Callithrix jacchus: one gene and its partner. The protein of the gene in region 2 purifies or fractionates together with the protein of the main gene of each other region. This does not show direct contact. Links are inferred from orthologs where the notes say so. Each region holds a gene or a part of one and is shown on either strand. Other genes may lie near its edges.

Evidence for each region. Proteins that work in one complex are often made in the same cells at the same time.
Region 1: the proteins of GEMIN4 (region 2) and SNRNP70 purify together in Homo sapiens (affinity purification with mass spectrometry; 5 studies listed by BioGRID and IntAct, counting the BioPlex papers as one, with this or other methods). This does not show direct contact. The link is inferred for Callithrix jacchus from reciprocal best matches to the Homo sapiens genes GEMIN4 and SNRNP70.

Annotation. Positions count from the first base shown.
Region 1 is NC_133523.1:42,899,841-42,903,931, reverse strand, and holds the start of SNRNP70 (U1 small nuclear ribonucleoprotein 70 kDa), read right to left. Parts: upstream 2,801-4,091; 5' UTR 2,607-2,800; intron 1,825-2,606; 5' UTR 1,815-1,824; coding exon 1,668-1,814; intron 1-1,667. UniProt on the Homo sapiens protein: Component of the spliceosomal U1 snRNP, which is essential for recognition of the pre-mRNA 5' splice-site and the subsequent assembly of the spliceosome. SNRNP70 binds to the loop I region of U1-snRNA.
Region 2 is NC_133506.1:63,630,167-63,634,327, forward strand, and holds the start of GEMIN4 (gem-associated protein 4), read left to right. Parts: upstream 1-1,361; coding exon 1,362-1,824; exon of another isoform or gene 1,825-3,287; coding exon of another isoform or gene 3,288-3,420; exon of another isoform or gene 3,421-4,161. Other genes in the region: diazepam-binding inhibitor-like 5, read right to left, coding at 438-701; uncharacterized protein LOC118153659, read right to left, coding at 778-896, 1,156-1,363. UniProt on the Homo sapiens protein: The SMN complex catalyzes the assembly of small nuclear ribonucleoproteins (snRNPs), the building blocks of the spliceosome, and thereby plays an important role in the splicing of cellular pre-mRNAs.

The sequences.
Region 1 (4,091 bases), on a different chromosome or scaffold from region 2:
GGACTGCGGACACGTGCCACCACGCCCAGGTAGTTTTGGTATTTTTAGTAGAAACAGAGTTTCACTACATTGGCCAGGCTGGTCTCCAACTCCTGACTTCGTGATCTGCCTGCCTCAGCCTCCCAAAGTGCTGAGATTACAAGTGTGAGCCACCACGCCCGTCCTATCTAAGAAGTTCTGCTCTGCAACTCCCTCCACCTCCAGCTGCCCATTCCTACCCAATGCGAGAATGTTCTTGTAACTTCTGGCTGTGTGCCAGCTTTCCTCAGGTGTCCTCAGATACGCCTACAAGATGACCATTGTCATCCCAATTTCACAAATAAAAACAGAGAGGTCCAGGAGCCTAAGTCATTCATTCCTGAAGTCATTTACCCTGAAGGTGCAGAACTAAGATCCTGGTCTGGGGTTTTAAGCCCTCCAACGCTCGGTGCTAGCCCTTTATGAACACCATCTTATTAACAATAAAAGTAGTAAACAGAGTAGCAAAGGCCGACATAGGCTGCCTGCTTGATGCCAAGCCCCCTGACATACACATTGCCATTTAATTCTCCACCAACAGTATGAGGGGTGCTACCACTATCCCCTTGCTAAAGATAAAGAAACCAATGCATTAAGATACACATTTGCCCAAACTCACAGAGCTATTAAATGGTGCAAGCCAAGTGTGAATCCTCAACCACTACTCAACTGAACTTTCTCACAGAAATTCTACAAAAGGTATACCATCAACCCCACTTTTTTTTTGAAATGGGAGCCTCACTCTGTTGCCCAGGCTGGAGTACAGTGGGACAATCTCGACTCACTGCAATGACTGCCTCCCGGGTTCAAGTGATTCTTCTGCCTCGGCCTCCCAAGTAGTTGGGACTAGCAAGCACCATCACGCCCGGTTAAGTTTTGTATTTTTAGTTGAGATGGGATTTCACCATATTGACCAGGCTAGTCTTGAACTTCTGACCTCAGGTGATCCACCTGCCTCAGCCTTCCAAAGTGCTGGGATTACAGGTGTGAGCCACTGAGCCCAGCCTCACTTTGTCTGTTTGTTCGGAGACAGTACTTTCTATTGCCCAGGTTGGAGTGCAACGGTTCCATCTGGGCTCACTGCAACCTCTGCCCTTCGGGTTCAAGTGATTCTCCTGCCTCAGTCTCCCGAGTAGCTGGGATTACAGGTACCCACCACCATGCCCAGCTAATTTTCCTATTTTTAGTAGAGACAGGATTTCATCATGTTGGCCAGGTTGGTCTTGAACTCCTGACCTCAGGTGATCCACCCGCCTCAGCCTCCCAAAGTACTGGAAATTACAAGCATAAGCTACCGCACCTGGCCACAAGTCCACTTTAAAAAAAAAAAAAAAAAAATTTTTTTTAAGAGATGAGGTCCTGTTCTGTCACCGAGGCCGGAGTATAGTGGCGCAATCACAAAGCAATCCAGCCTCCAACTCCTGGGCTCAAGCAATCCTCCCACCTCAGCCTCCTGAGTAGCTGGAACTACAGGTGCACTCGACCACACCTGGCTCCAACCCCATTTAAAACAGGGAAACTGAGGATCACAAAGATGAAGCCAGTCGCTTAAATCACACAGCTAGCAAATCCAGTCAGAGGCTGGACTCCCAGATCCAATCCTTGCACCCCACAACCCAAACCATTCCTGGCCTGCTCAGTGAACTCACCTCAAACTCTCGAATGTACGGCGCAATGCCACAGTAAGGTTGATTGTGGTGTTTTTCATGTGGCAGTTTCTCCAGGGGTGGCAGGTATGGGATAGGGTCACGGGGGGCAAAAAGGGCCAGAAGGTTGGGCGGCAGGAACTGGGTCATCTTGCCAAGTCTGAGAGCAGAAGCAGGACAGCCTTAGGTTAGATTGGGTCTGCACAGAGAAAGCCCCTATTTGTCCCCTGACTCTCAAAAAAAAAAAAAAAAAGAAAAAGAGAGAAAACAGGAGTAAAGTCTCGGAATTCGAAGAGGCTCTGAAAGGGCAGAGAACCGTCCTACGCTAGAAGAGAAAAGGGCATCTCTTGGTGGGGGTGGAGGTGAAAATCAGGCCCGTAAAGGAAACAAAAAACAAAGGCTGGAAAAGGGTTCCTGAGCAGTGAGGTCTCAGAGTCCTGACCCACGAGCTGTGTGGCGGAGAGCTTCCCTGGGGATTTCTGGGGGAATCAAGGACCCGAGAAAGGAGGCACAGAGCAGTTGTGGCTGGCTGCTCGTCTCGTATCTTGGAGGACAAATTATGAGATGCGGTTTGCAGAGGCCTGGAGGTCTGAAGTCTCCGGGCAAAGAGAAACATAAGCAGCGAAGCCCCAAAGCCAAGCGCCTGTGGGTAACAGACCTGGGCGCCCCCAAGACGAAAGGAATTATGGGTAAAGGTCCAGGACAACATGGAAAGACGAAAAAGAAAAAAGGCCATACACCGCAAGGGCCTGTGGGTAGGGGACCTAGGACGCTACGGGAAGCAGGCGTGGGTGCGCAGAGGGCTCGGGTTTCGGGAAAGGGATGCAGAAGGGACCTGCAGCAGGGGACGCGGCAAAGGGGCCTGGCTGCAGGTAAAAGTACCGGGGCCCACCGCAGGGGCTTGTGGGTAGCGGCCCAGCACCCCGGACCACTCGGCCACACTCACTCGCCGCGCGGCGCCCTCCTGGGTCTGGCGTCGGTCCGGAGGCTCGGGGCGGCTGCGGCGGCCCCTCAGCAACAAGAACTTCCGCTTTGGCTTCCACTCCGACGGCGTCCGCGTCTGCCTGACTCCCTTGCCCGCGCAGCGAGCGCACAAGGCCGCTGCTCAACAACCCGCGCGGCCTCAGCTACCGACTGGAGCAGGGGGTGGGTCTCGACCTGAAATCCCTCCGCCGTCAGCACTGCGCATGCGCCGCGAGAGGCCAAGACCTACCCACACACCAGGCCCAGGAGCCGTCGCTGGCAAAGCGCACGCGCGAGGTCACTACCCCGCCTTCGGGCACCTTGAGTACCTCAGTCTCCTGGAGCTGGCGTCTGCGCTGCGCGCGCGCGCTCAGCCCCAAGCCGCCCCTCCACCTGCCGCTTTCCGCTCCGAACCGCCTATGTCCACGAGACTCTCTCTGACGCTCCGCCCCTTTCCCGATCACACTTCCCTGATTTTTTTCGCGCATGCGTGTTGTGTAGAGTACTGTAACGTACCTCTCCGCCGCCTAGCAAAGAGTCCCTAAGTGAATAGCCTGATTGCGTTGATGTCTAATCTATTCAATCAACTGCTCATCGAGCATCTCGTATGTGCTAGGCACTGTCTGGGCTTTGGGGGCTACAGCACGTGACTAAAGCAAAGTCTTCTCCTGCTTGGGCTTACATTGTACTGAGGGAGACAATAAAAGCGCTTGACTGAATAAAGATAGTTTAAGGGCTGGGCCCGGTGGCTCACTCCTGTAATCCCATCACTTGGGAGGCCGAGGCAGGCGGATCACCCGAGATCAATTGTTCGAGACCAGCATGGCCAACATGGTGAAACCCCGTCTCTACAAAAAAATACAAAAATTGGCCGGGCATGGTGGTGTGAGCCTGTAACCTCAGCTACTCTGGAGGCTGAGGCAGAAGAATCGCTTGAACCCAGGAGCCAGAGGTTGCCCTGAGCAGAGATCACCGCCATTGCACTCCAGCCTGGGTGACAAGAGCGACACTCTATCTTAAAATAATAATAATAATTTGAGATGGTGACCAGCATAATAAAGAAGGACAGAGCAGAGTAAAGGGATGGGAAGTGAGAGTGAGGCCATTTTATAAAGGGTGATAACGGAAGGCTCCTCTGAAGTGTCATTTGAACAAAGGCCAGATAGAAGCAAGATCGGGGGACGGGGAGGGTTAACAGCAGGCGCAAAGGTCCTGAACTGGGACCAGATGGCAGGAATCTCAGGTTGTTGGCCGTGAGATCAGAGAGCTGGCATTTATTTTATTTAAGGCCCTGTTGTTAAGTATTGCATTTTAAGTTTTGTGGATGGATTCAATAGCCTGTTTAATAACTATAGAAATTATTGCAAAATTCAAATGACTAATTTTCAAGAAAAAGGCCAGCAACTCAGGAGGCTGAGGCAGGAGAATCGCTTTAACCTAGGAGGCAGAGATTGCAGTGAGCTG
Region 2 (4,161 bases):
GGTCTACCTAGAACATAAACTTCCTAGGCCCTGTGTTCCAGTGGGGGTTTCGGTGTTTAGGACAGAGTCCCTTTCCCCTCTGTAGTGTTGGGTGTTCATTAATCACTCTTGAAGAGGTAAGGGGCTGGGCCTCAGCCTCCCCAGAGGCCATCAGTGGAGAAGGGTCTCGCTGACCTCAGATCGTGGGCATTTCCACGGCACACCATCCCTCCCAGTACGCTCTAGCAATAGGAAGGCTGGGAACGCCACCCAAAGCCACACCGTTTTTGCGGTCTGTGTATTTGGACGCCTCCCCAGCACCCAGTCAACGAGTTTCTTTTTCCACAGCAGTCAGTCACTCTCGTGCAGTGTCAGTGATTTATTGGTGTTTCAGCTAACCCGGTTACTCTCCATTTCAGCCATCAAGGTCTAGGGAGCCACTCCATTCCGAGGAGCCCTCAGCCAGCCTCCTTCCTGGTCAGCTCCTCCACTTTGGCCACGTAGGCCCTCATGGCGTCCATCCTGGACAGCCCTTGGTTCGCAGTCCACGCCTCCCACTTGGCCTTGGCTTTCAGGTCAGAGGCGGGAGGCGCGGGGAGGTGGCAGTCGCCCCGGGTGGCCTGCTTGTACCAGCCGTAGAGCAGCAGCTTGTCCTGGTCGCTCAGGGGGCCCTTCAGCTGCTTGAGGGCGGTGCGCGCCAGCTCGAACTCCACTTGGCACATGGGGCGGGAGGCGGCCGGGCCTTTCCGGGCGATCCGGGTGCTGGAGGCCGGAGGTGGGGAGGTAAAAAGGCCGGCGTCAGACCTCCAACTCGGGGGCAGGGGACGGGCGGCGCGTGGAAGAACACGCAGAGTCTGTATTTTCTTCTCCGCGACTGCAGGCCCGGGAGCCAGTGTCTGGGTCTGTCCACGATGTTTCTGTGGAGGAGCAGACGTGAGAAGCGCCTCCGGTCCCAAACGCGGCCGTCCCAAGGGGGCGGCGCGGCAGCGGCGCGCACAGAGTGCGAGCGTAGGACGAGCTGGGCGGGAGGAAGCCGCGCGTGGGGAGGCCGCGCTGGGTGGGGGCGGACAGTGTGCGGGACGCGCCCGGGGTCACCGGATGAGGGTGAATGCGGAGCCGGGGCTCAAGCCGGACGCACTGGGACCCGGAGGCAGGCCCGGGAGCAACGCCCGATACCTGACGGACGGGAGGCCTCTGCGAGGAGGCGGTGCTGTGGCTCTGCGCGCTCCTCCGTGAGGACTGCGCTTGCGCGGGGGGCTATGGGCGGGGACTGAGCACGGCCGCCGTGGCGCCTGCGCCGCCCATTGTGCCGTGCGTTCGTCGCCGCGCCCGCGTTCTCTGAGAGGGAGAGCCAACCCCGCGCAACCGCCCGCGTCGCTACCATGGACCTAGGTGGGTGCCGCGCTCCCTGCCCGGGCTGCGTCCCTCCACGCGTCAGCAGGGCGGTGCTCCCTGGCGCGTCTCCTCCCGCTGCGCGCACTGATGGGCCCAGGCGGAACGTCCTCCGCGTCGGGGCGGGTCTGGGGTTCCGGGTGGCTTTGGCTGGGGACCCGGGCCCGGCCTCGGGAGTCGCGCCGCGGAGTGAGGGTGGAACCCTCTGGGCCGGCGCACGTGCTATGGAAGCGCGGCTCCTTCAGCGCCCGGACTGCCGCGCTCCTGAAAGGCGCGTGTCTCCTGTCGTCCGGCTTCGTCTCGGCGGAGCGGGAGGGGGACGGTGCGTCTGCCCCCGAGGGCTGCGCGACTCTCCACGGAGGCCGCGGGCGTCCAGGTCCCGCGCAGAGTTGCCGGGGCGGCTGCGCGCCTCGGAACCGGAGTGGTCGGGGCCAGGCCCGGAACACGGAGCAGGTGGGCGGGCGTCCGGAGAGCTGGGGCCGCGGCGCTTCGGCACCAGCTCTCGGGAGCGGAATGGCGTCCGGGCACCCTGAGAAAAGCGTTTCTGCAGCTTCGTGTTCGGGCCTTGAGCGGGAACGGCGTTGTCAAGGTGGTCGTGATGCGTGAGGTCTCGCATGTGACCCGGCGCGGGGCTGGCGCGGTGAGCGCGGAACCACCCGGTAGCCCTAGCTCTTGGCTCTGGCGCGCGCTGGGCGCCGTTCCTGACCGAGCGCCGGCGGGTTTTCCAGCCGTCACTGCCCTGGCGCTACTGCTGCAAATGCGGCGGACTGCCTGCGTTTGGAAGGCGCGCGTGGATGGCCAGACATTGGCCCAAAGAAGCTGATAACGCAGTAAAATTAAATTTGCAGCGCTAGGGGGGGCCGCATTTTGGGGTTTGGGCGAGCCTCCTGACGGTAACCCTAGCGAGATCCCTCTGCAGCCTCGGCCTCAGCCACTGTGAGCTGAGGTGGATTTTCTCCGCAAATGGGTTACATGGGAGTGCTGAGCGCTGGGCCTGTGGCTGCTCCCACACATGGTGGCAAGGGCAAGACAGTCCTTAGTCTCCTGGAATCCGTGTTATCTCTGCTGATGTCTGGCCTGTAAAATGGAGACTGAGCTCTCAGGGGCATGAGAGACTGAGGAAGAAGCATCTCTTGGTCCTAGAAAAGGGAGAGGACTCAGGAGTGGGGAATAGTGAGCAGTGTCTATCCTGGGAAAGGGAGAAGACTAGGGAGTGAGGAATGGTGAGCATTGTCCCGATCCTGGGAAAAGGAGAGGACTCAGAAGTGAGGAAAAGTGAGCAATGCTTGTACCCTCGTTTTACTTCCTGGGCCAAAGGAAACATACCTGATAAAAACCTATGTCCTTTGATGTTTCTGAGCTGGGGCAGGCAAAGAACAGTGACAGGGTTTTGATCCTGCCAATGATGAGAAGGTTTGGGGAAACCAACATTGACTGAGCCCTGATCAGGCTCTGTAACCTGATTCTTAGTGTAGCTGTATCACATTTATCCATCACAGCGTCTCCAGGAGATGGGGTCAGGAGATAGCAGTACTAACCCACTACCAGGGGCTTGACTGGTATGCATCATATAATCCTCAGAGTCGTAACAAGAAGTCTGTATTATCCCCAAAGCTGCAGAAGGAAGGCTTGGAGAAGCAATCTGACCATGATCACATCCCTTACCCACCCCCCTTTTTTTAGGGGTCTGGGGGGGTCTCACTATGTTACCTTAGCTAGTTTTGAACTCCTGACCTCAGGGATCCACCTGCCTCAGCCCCCCAAGTAGCTGGGATTAGAAGTGCTAGCCACTGCACCCCTGGCCAGAATCACATTACTTTTAAATGGCTGATCTAGGAATCAAACCTATGTTTGATTAAACATCCCAAGATGTAAGTCTGTCAGTTATTCCTTCTCTGCAGGAAGGACTTAATTTAATGAAGTATTTTCTGTATCTACTCCCTGGTTTCTCCCACAGAGCCTGGGCCATGAGTAGCTTGTCTTTGGAAGGAGCTGTGGGGTGGACTGTTTCCCTGAAAGGTAGAACAATGTTTGAAGCCTGCTCCCAAGGCAAGGTTATGAAGGGCGAAGGCAGGGCTTGTCTGATTGCTTCTGTGCCCATTACCTGTGGCCATGTGATTGCTTCAGTGCTCATTACGCTATGGCTGTGTGATGGCTGCTGTGCCGTTACCCTGTGTCTGTGTGATGGCTGCTATGCCCATTACCCTGTGGCTGTGATTGCTGTTGTGCCGTCACTCTGTGGCTGTGCCCATTACCCTGTGAATGTGTGATTGCAGCTGTGCCCATTACCCTGTGGCTGTGTGATTGCTGCTGTGCTGTTACTCTGTGGCTGCATGATTGTGGCTGTCCTCATTACCCTGTGGCTGTGTGATTATCACTCTTCCCCCTTCATCTGTCATGAGAAACTCAGCTGTCATGTCCTGTGGTACATGCTCAATAGCTCTGTCGTTTGTACTGTCCTCGTGCTATTTCTGAACCTCTCTCCCCACATCCTCCTCTGGCCCATCCTTTGCTGAAGGGTTTGCCCTCAGCAGCCCAGCTTGTTCTTTTTACTTTTCCTGAGGGATCTCATTCTCTCTTGGTTCCGGTGATCCCCTTCTGGGCACATGCCTCTCAGAGTCACATTTCCCAGCTGACTTACCCCCTGAACTTCCACCCGGCATTGCAACTGCTGAAGGACATCTCCTCGATAGCCAAAATCCAGAATCACATTTCCCAGCTGGCTTTTCTCTTCAACTTGCATGGGGCATTTCCACTGCTGGAGAACATCTGTGCCTTGATAGCCAAAAT